Cricetulus griseus: one gene and its partner. The protein of the gene in region 2 purifies or fractionates together with the protein of the main gene of each other region. This does not show direct contact. Links are inferred from orthologs where the notes say so. Each region holds a gene or a part of one and is shown on either strand. Other genes may lie near its edges.

What was found.
Region 1: the proteins of Egfr (region 2) and Nup93 purify together in Homo sapiens (affinity purification with mass spectrometry, with the first as the bait; 3 studies listed by BioGRID). This does not show direct contact. The link is inferred for Cricetulus griseus from reciprocal best matches to the Homo sapiens genes EGFR and NUP93.

The regions. Positions count from the first base shown.
Region 1 is NC_048596.1:170,534,547-170,538,111, reverse strand, and holds part of Nup93 (nuclear pore complex protein Nup93), read right to left. Parts: intron 3,454-3,565; coding exon 3,314-3,453; intron 302-3,313; coding exon 169-301; intron 1-168. UniProt on the Homo sapiens protein: Plays a role in the nuclear pore complex (NPC) assembly and/or maintenance. May anchor nucleoporins, but not NUP153 and TPR, to the NPC. During renal development, regulates podocyte migration and proliferation through SMAD4 signaling.
Region 2 is NW_023276807.1:89,407,754-89,411,943, forward strand, and holds the start of Egfr (epidermal growth factor receptor), read right to left. Parts: upstream 2,848-4,190; 5' UTR 2,833-2,847; coding exon 2,752-2,832; intron 2,131-2,751; coding exon 1,947-2,130; intron 1-1,946. UniProt on the Homo sapiens protein: Receptor tyrosine kinase binding ligands of the EGF family and activating several signaling cascades to convert extracellular cues into appropriate cellular responses.

The DNA.
Region 1 (3,565 bases), on a different chromosome or scaffold from region 2:
GTTTAGCTTATAGACTCTCTAAGACACTGTAAAATAATCCTCTAGCTACATGGCAAGCTAAGCAGCCCCACCCACTCATCCATGGCCTCTTTGCCACACAGAACCTCCTTTCAACTGAGAACAACCAACAGCTTCAGAGTGTGTCTGACCGTGAGAGGTTTCCAGTACCTGAAGTCCTGGTGAGGGAGCTGGCAGTTTAATGTTTAGGAAACTTCGAACCAGCTGATAAGTCCCAGGCACACCGCCCAGCTGGGCCTGATGCAGATTTCCAAAGACAGTCACAAGGGTGTAATTTTTATAACTGGAAAGATGAAAAAAAAAAAAAAAAAAACCCAAAGTGGTGAAGGTTGACAACTTGCATTACAACATCTATGTCCACATCCAGAATACTCCTCTATGGGCAAGGCCTGGATTTTAAATTCCATATAGAAGAGGAAACAGTACACGCTTAATGAAGCAAATTCCATTCTCCACTACGGATGTTTACTACAGTTACCCCAAAGAATTCCCAGGGGAATACAACTGAGGGCTTCAAATACCATAAGGTGGAACCTAATGTTCTAAAGGGTTTGCTTTAAAAGACAAAACAAAACCTTTGATTTTAAAGAATTTGAAATAATTCCAAGGCAAGTCAAAATAGTTCAGTGAATCCCTTCGTACCTAGATGAGCCGTAGCGACATTTGTGTGTTTCCTGTCTCTGCATGTCCTACCTGACACCCAAATGCACACAGGAACATGATTTTGTTTATTCCCAGAAGCATTTAAAAATGTTACAAAAACCATGGCTACCTAACCTAGGATCATTTAAGCCATGTACCTCCCAAGAACCAGGAATGACCCTAAAGGCTAATTACAGAGAACAAATTGTGGAATCTGACATAGTTAGAAAAAATGGTTTCTAAAGAACTAGAAGTTGAGCTATGCAAAACTCTGTTTTATATATCTGGATCATAACTGTAGAAAAAGTAAAACTAAACTAAACATTCATGACAAAAGAGGGTGGGAACTATCACAGGGCAATAGGAGCCACCTCTGGGTGTGAGGAATGGTGCCTATCTTCTCTTTGACACTTTCCTAAATCCCTATAAAAAGCACATATTGTTCTGTAATGGAAAAGAAGCATTAGGCAATTAAACAATGCATTCTCCTCACCACTACATTCATTTAAAAGCAAAGACGAGAGAACAGAGCACTCTGTAGCAGCCAGGACAAACAGATGCCCACTACTACCTCCTCCAACTTGCAGTACGACAACTTACGTGCTGGCAAGATCCTAAATTAAAGAAGCCTAAACTCACTGGGAACCAAGACAAACATATCCTACCACAAGCCTTGGAACATGGAAGGGACAGACCAAACCTGTATTTTTCGCCTTACATTTAAAAACATATTTGGAACTAGGTCTCCTTTACCATCTGGTAGATTATGTAACTTGAAACTTTATATTATTCTGTCAGCAGAAAAGCATCTACAGAAATACTGTAACGGGGTGTACAGTTATTCAAACAGGAGCTTAGGAAGCTTTGAAAAGGATGCTGCCAGAGAGGGATGCTGTTCCAAAGATAAAGACAGGCTTTGTTAGCGGGACAGGACCTTCAGACAGTTCCAAAAGTCAGGCTAGAGAGCGGGCAAAGAATAAAAACATTAAATTAGGGGCTGCAGAGATGGTTCAGCAGTTAAGAGAACTTGCCGTTCTTACAGAGAATCTGGGTTGGATTCCTAGCACCCATATGGAGGCTTACAACTGTCTGTAACTCTAGTTCCGGAAGATCCAGTGCCCTTTTCTGATCTCACTGGCACCAGGCACACACATGGTGCACGTGGGTACTTGGAGGAAAAACACACATAAAATAAATACATCTAAAAAAATTAAAAATATTTTTTAAAAAAACTAAGTGCAATAAATAATAAAATGGGTTACATAAACAGGGATGCAGCCTTGTGACTGAAGCTCCAGTTTAAAGATTAAGTTTGTCAGGGAAAGCATTTTTCAAATTTATTTATTTATTTTTAACTCCTTAAGATTTTTATATGGTGTATGAAAATCTGGCTCAGTTTGCCAACTAAAATGAATAAATGTTACTAAATTAGATTCTTTATGGTTGGTGATCAATACAACCAAACCTCCATCTCAAAAGTTTAGCCTACAGGGCTGGAGAGATAGCTTATCAGTTGAGAGCAGTGACTGCTCTTCCAGAGGACCTGAGGTTCAATTCGAGACCCAAATGGTGGCTCACAGCCATCTGTAACTCCGGTCTTAGGGGGATCAAAACCCTCGTGTGGCCCCCATAGACACCGCGCCTATGTGATACACAAACATTCAGGCCAAAGAACCATACAAATAAAAATATAAACTAAAGAGAAAAATAAGTTTAGCCAAAGTCTGAAGAACTACTTTATAAAATCTTTACACACAGACTAGAGAAATTAAAAAACGAAAACCAAAGCCTTTTTAAATTCCAGATTTAATAGAATGGAGGCGAGTGAGTACAAACTGGAGGGTGCTCTCTTCATGTAGCTAAGGTGTAATTAGCATAGAATCTGATATGAAACAGCAGCATCAGTCTGAATTCCCTCAAGGAACTTCCTATCCAAGTATTATTTTGTTGACAAAGCTCTTCTCAAGCCAGCAGGCTGATGCCCAGTGCTCTGTCCCTAGCATGGGGTCTGCTGCACAGGTCTGGAATCCTGCTGGGATTCCAGAGTTCCACAAAGAAGGATGAATGGCACAGGTCCTAAGAGGACATAGCCACAAAGCCCTCAGCAACCCAGCCCAGACACAAAGCACTGGCCTCAGCAGCTTCACAGAGCCTGACTCGGGATTAACTGGGTAGCGTCAGGAGGGTCTTCCTAAGGTTTCAAAGCTGTCATATTGCAAGGGTGAGTTAAAATGCTGTAAGAAAACAAAGGAACCTGGGGAGAAAATGCTGAGTCATATTAGGAAAACAGGATTATGATGCAAGTCATTATATTCTAATCAACACGCCTCTACATTAAATGTGAAGGGCAGAGAAGTAAAAGAGGTCAACAGCTCCCCCTTACCACCATTCCCATGTATGATTTTTTATCAGTTGCAGAAACAGTCCTGGTAGATAAGTGTTCTGACAACAGAATTACCTCATACCAGTCAGGTTAAAGTACTCCAGTTTCAGCACACTCCGCCCCAGAACCACATAAGACTTGAGAAACAGGTGATTTTAGGGAAAGTGAAAGCCAACACCCCCCCCCCCCACCCCCCCCACACACAGAGAGAGAGAGAGAGAGAGAGAGAGAGAGAGAGAGAGAGAGAGAGAGAGAGCACAGCTACCTCACCTCTGCTCAAGGTATCCCAAGGCCTGCCTGACAAACTCCATGCGCACTTCTACACTGTTTCGGCTCTTCAGGGCATCAGTTGCTGGTGCCAATACCACATCTGTCATTTGTTTCACCATGGCCCACATATCAGAAATGCTCTGCATGTAAGTGAGATTACATGTGACAATGCTGTAAGGATGGAGAAGTTATGTGGCTATGACTACAATGCCAGGCAGAATGAGGAGGGACTGAGGTTTTCGGTCTGAGACG
Region 2 (4,190 bases):
TTCTTAACAGATGCCAGGGGATAAAAGAACTTCAGAAGGAAGGTGGGCAAGTCAGAAAGAGCCAAGATGTGGAGCTCTACCTGGAAAATAGAGATGACAGCAGTATGATAGAAACAAGAGGAGACAGAAGTATAGGGTCAAACTTAGCAAAAGAAGACAGGCACATCAAGGTTGCAGTGACAACCAAGAGAAGAGACAAGGAGGCACAGGGAGGTGGGAGAGCCAACAATAGGTAACTGATAATTGGCCGGGGGCAGGATTCACTAGTCTCCTCCTTCTAACTGAATAGAGAAAGGCAATGAGTAGAAAGTCAAATCTTTTGTTTTTATTTCAACATTTGGGAAATGCTCAGTTGTGGCAGTAGTCCTATATTAAATAACTGGGACCAATAAAACTATAACCTTGCTTTAATTAGAAAATAGGGGTAGTTCAGTTAGAGCATGCACACACAGACACACATATAGACAACAACAGCAAAGTAGGAACTCAATAGCTGAGGCATGCTTTGTCTGTAGTAATACAGTTGATTTTTGTCAACACAGAGGGAACACATTAACAAATATGTGTACTACATTTTGGACGTGAGGGCACTGAGATACAGAGAAAAACACAGGTGAAGGAATATCTGCAAAGTCGTTTGACTGACGGGTGATGGAGTTGGGGCTGGAACACAGACAGCCTGGCTCCAGGATCTAGACTCACACCCGCTGGCTTCCTCACATGTATGAGGCAAGATAGGCAGAACAAGGCATGCCGAAAGTACCAAACAGGCCATTTCATGCAATGTGTGTACAGGAGAGATGAATGCTAGCAAAAATTCAGAAACATGCGTGGGTGCTCAGAGCAGTTAAAGTGGTGGGTGGGAATTCTGGAGGCAGTTTATGGGATGGTGAACCAGGGAGCTGAGGAAGGAAGTGTCTGGCTGGCTGTGTGGCCACATCCTAGCTCAACACACCAATAGGGTCCCATTCTCTCTACTTTTTCTTCCACCGCATCCCCTTCCCAGTCCAAATGGCTTCCCCATCAGAACTGCAGGGCACACAGGGATGAAAGAACCAGGCATGGGGTACAGGAAGAGTTATCTTAATGCCATGCCTTTATCTGTAAAATGACAGAGTACAACACCTGCTTTTATGGAAGGCTGTGGCATTAAGTGGAGTTACTGACTTGAGAAACAGTCCAGGAAATGGAGGAAGAATTGTTGTTTCTCATCATTTCAGCCACCCTTTCCATTTTCCTCTTCAACTCCAAAATCTTCCTTCCTCTTCCCAACTTACACCTGAGTTTCCATGTAACAATATTAACCTTGAAACCTATTCCTCAAACAGGACAGATTTTAAATACATTAGATCCCTTTCCCATGAGTGGTTTTGGGGTCCAACTGCTGTTGGTCCACTTTGGGAGAAACATCAAGTGACCAAATTCACAAGCATTTGGTGAAGCACACTAATTGTTCTGTTATTTTTCATTGCTGTTGTTAATGTTTTGCTATACCTAATCAATGAACTGAATGATGAGAGCCATATAGATTCAGGAAAGGCATGGCATGTATGGTTTTGGACACCTAATGTTTCAGACATCCAGTTTTGCCTAGGAATGCTTCCCTGCAATATGAGGGAGTGACTGCATGTCCTTTCTGCCTCTGGCCCAAGTTTATTTCCTATTAACACAAACTCTCACTCACCGAGGTTGACCGGAGAACTTGGTCATTTATTTCCATCTCTGGATGTTATTCCTCATCCATGGAAGAACTGGTTTCTACCTGGCTGAAATCTCTTTCCATCTCATTACCTATCATCTTTGTAACTGCCACCCACTGAATCCTGCAAACAGCACTCAGTACATGTGTTTCACAAACATGTCTTCTCTGAGTTAGGATTAACTGAAATGACAGATTTGCCACATGCCATCAGAATCCCTCTTGGCCTTGATGTCCCACCTCTTACCCTGTAGGTTCCGCATGGGCAGTTCTCTAAGCCCGGTTCTGTTTGTCCCATAGTTGGACAGGACAGCTAAGGCATAGGTGTTTTCATACAGAGTGTTCCCCCTGATGATCTGCAGGTTCTCCAGAGGGATCTTCTCCACAGTGTTGAGGGCAATGAGCACATAGCCAGCAACCTCCTGGATGGTCTGAGAGGGAAAACAAAGCCTATTAAAGTGGGCCCAGGAGCCCCATTTAACTTCACAATGACACATTCATGTGGCAGATAAATCTAAGACACATAGACAATCACATGTGGGTAAAGGTTGTGGCAGGATTTGCAATGATTTCTTTCACGTTTCATTTGAAGGTTACATTAAAGAACAGCTGATTGATATGTTGTGATTCCCACTTTAACTCAAATAAATGGAAGTGAAAATAACTATTTTGAATTCATCTCTCATGATTTCTTGTGGAAGGAAGAAGTGAGGGAGAAGGGGAAGAAAAAATGAAAAAGAAATAAAGGCAAAGTAAACCCAGCTGAAGTCCAAGTGTTTGCATAGCAGATTTTGAAGCCTTCAGAGTTGGCTCCTAATGGCTCACTAGGAATATTTAGGACTGTGGAACATCAGAAGGGTTTCTCTCCCATTTTCCCCCACAAGCAACTTGACTTTAGCTGGAAGAGTGGACTTCTCATAACACTCTCCTATAGTCCCTTGGATTTGTGGCTTCCATAAGATGAAGTATCCATGCCTCAAGTCAGATTCTACTGAGTGTTCATATTTCATTTGATAGTGTTTGAATAGGACAACCACATTAAACGAACTAACCTTTAAGAAGGAAAGGTCATAACCCCTTTGCACGTAGGTAATTTCCAAGTTCCCAAGGACCACTTCACAGTTGTTGAACATCCTCTGCAGGCTCAGAAAGTGGTCTTCAAAAGTGCCGAGTTGAGTGAGCCTGTTACTTGTGCCTTGGCAAACTAGAATAAAAGGGAAAGAGGTCTGTCAGAAGATGCCGAGTAAGGTAGCAAACCACAACAAAACAATACTCATCAGCTTTCTGAGCCACAGTGACTAACAATCATCTTTGATCAAAGCCACCACAATGCTGATGTGGTAAGAGATGTTTAAGTTTACACAGCTGTAATTCATCGTGAGACAGAACTCATCCCTGTGATGCAGGCAATCATGTGATATTAAGGACACAGAGAAAACAAAGCATTAAAAGTGGAAGGCGGGGGAGATGTAAATTGTATAGAGGATTGTATTAGTTACTTATTTTGTTTCTGTGGCAAATCACCAGACAAAATCCACTTAGTGAGGGAAGGGTTTATTTCAGCTTACAGTTCTAGGGAAGACAGTCAACTATGGCAGAAAAGGAATGGCAACCAAAATGTGGAACATCTGGTCACATTGCATTCACAGTCAGGAAGAAGAGAGAGGTAAGTACCTCTCAGCTCTCTTTCTCCATTTTAATTAGTTTGAGGACCCCAACCATGGAATGGTTCTGGCCACCTTTAGGGTAGAAATTCCCAAATCAATTAACCTCATCTAGAAAACTGTTCACAGATATGCCCAGATGTCTATTTCTATAGTGATTCTAAATCTTGTCATGTTGACAATCAAGTTTAACTGCAGAAGTCTCTAAAATAGAAAGATAGCAATTAAATTTCTGTGGATGACACAATTGCAAAATGAGTTAATAACAATGCAATGAACATTTTACTTCACAAAAATATGTGTGCTACATTGTTGTGTACACAAAGGGTCTCCAAAACCACAAGACACAATCGGCAATGTTTTCTAACCCCAATTCTATATACCTAAAAATCAATGAAAACAATGGAATTTTAAAAGTCAGCTGTTAGAAATTAAAAATACTCCTCAGAATCATTCAAGGACAAATCAAAGTTCTGATTATAGAATACCCAGAATTCTTTTTTAAACTGAAAAATAACGCTTTAAAGCCATAGGCTAGTAAGAACCCAACATGTCCTTCTGTCTTTTTTCACATTGTGTTATTCCAACTAACACAGGTATCCATGTTTGTCTTGCATCCCCGCCAATATACAGCCTGTCAAGACACAGACTTAATCCGAGAAAACATGCGAAATTAGGGGCCAAAGTTATACCACAGAAATGCACTCAGTAGTCTGCATTTAGAAGCAGAGGAAAGGATAGTAATAAAATGGTATTCACAACTTGGCTTTTGGGGAGACATGTTTAGGCAAGCAAAACAAAACAAAGAGGCTTGGAGCTTTTGAAGC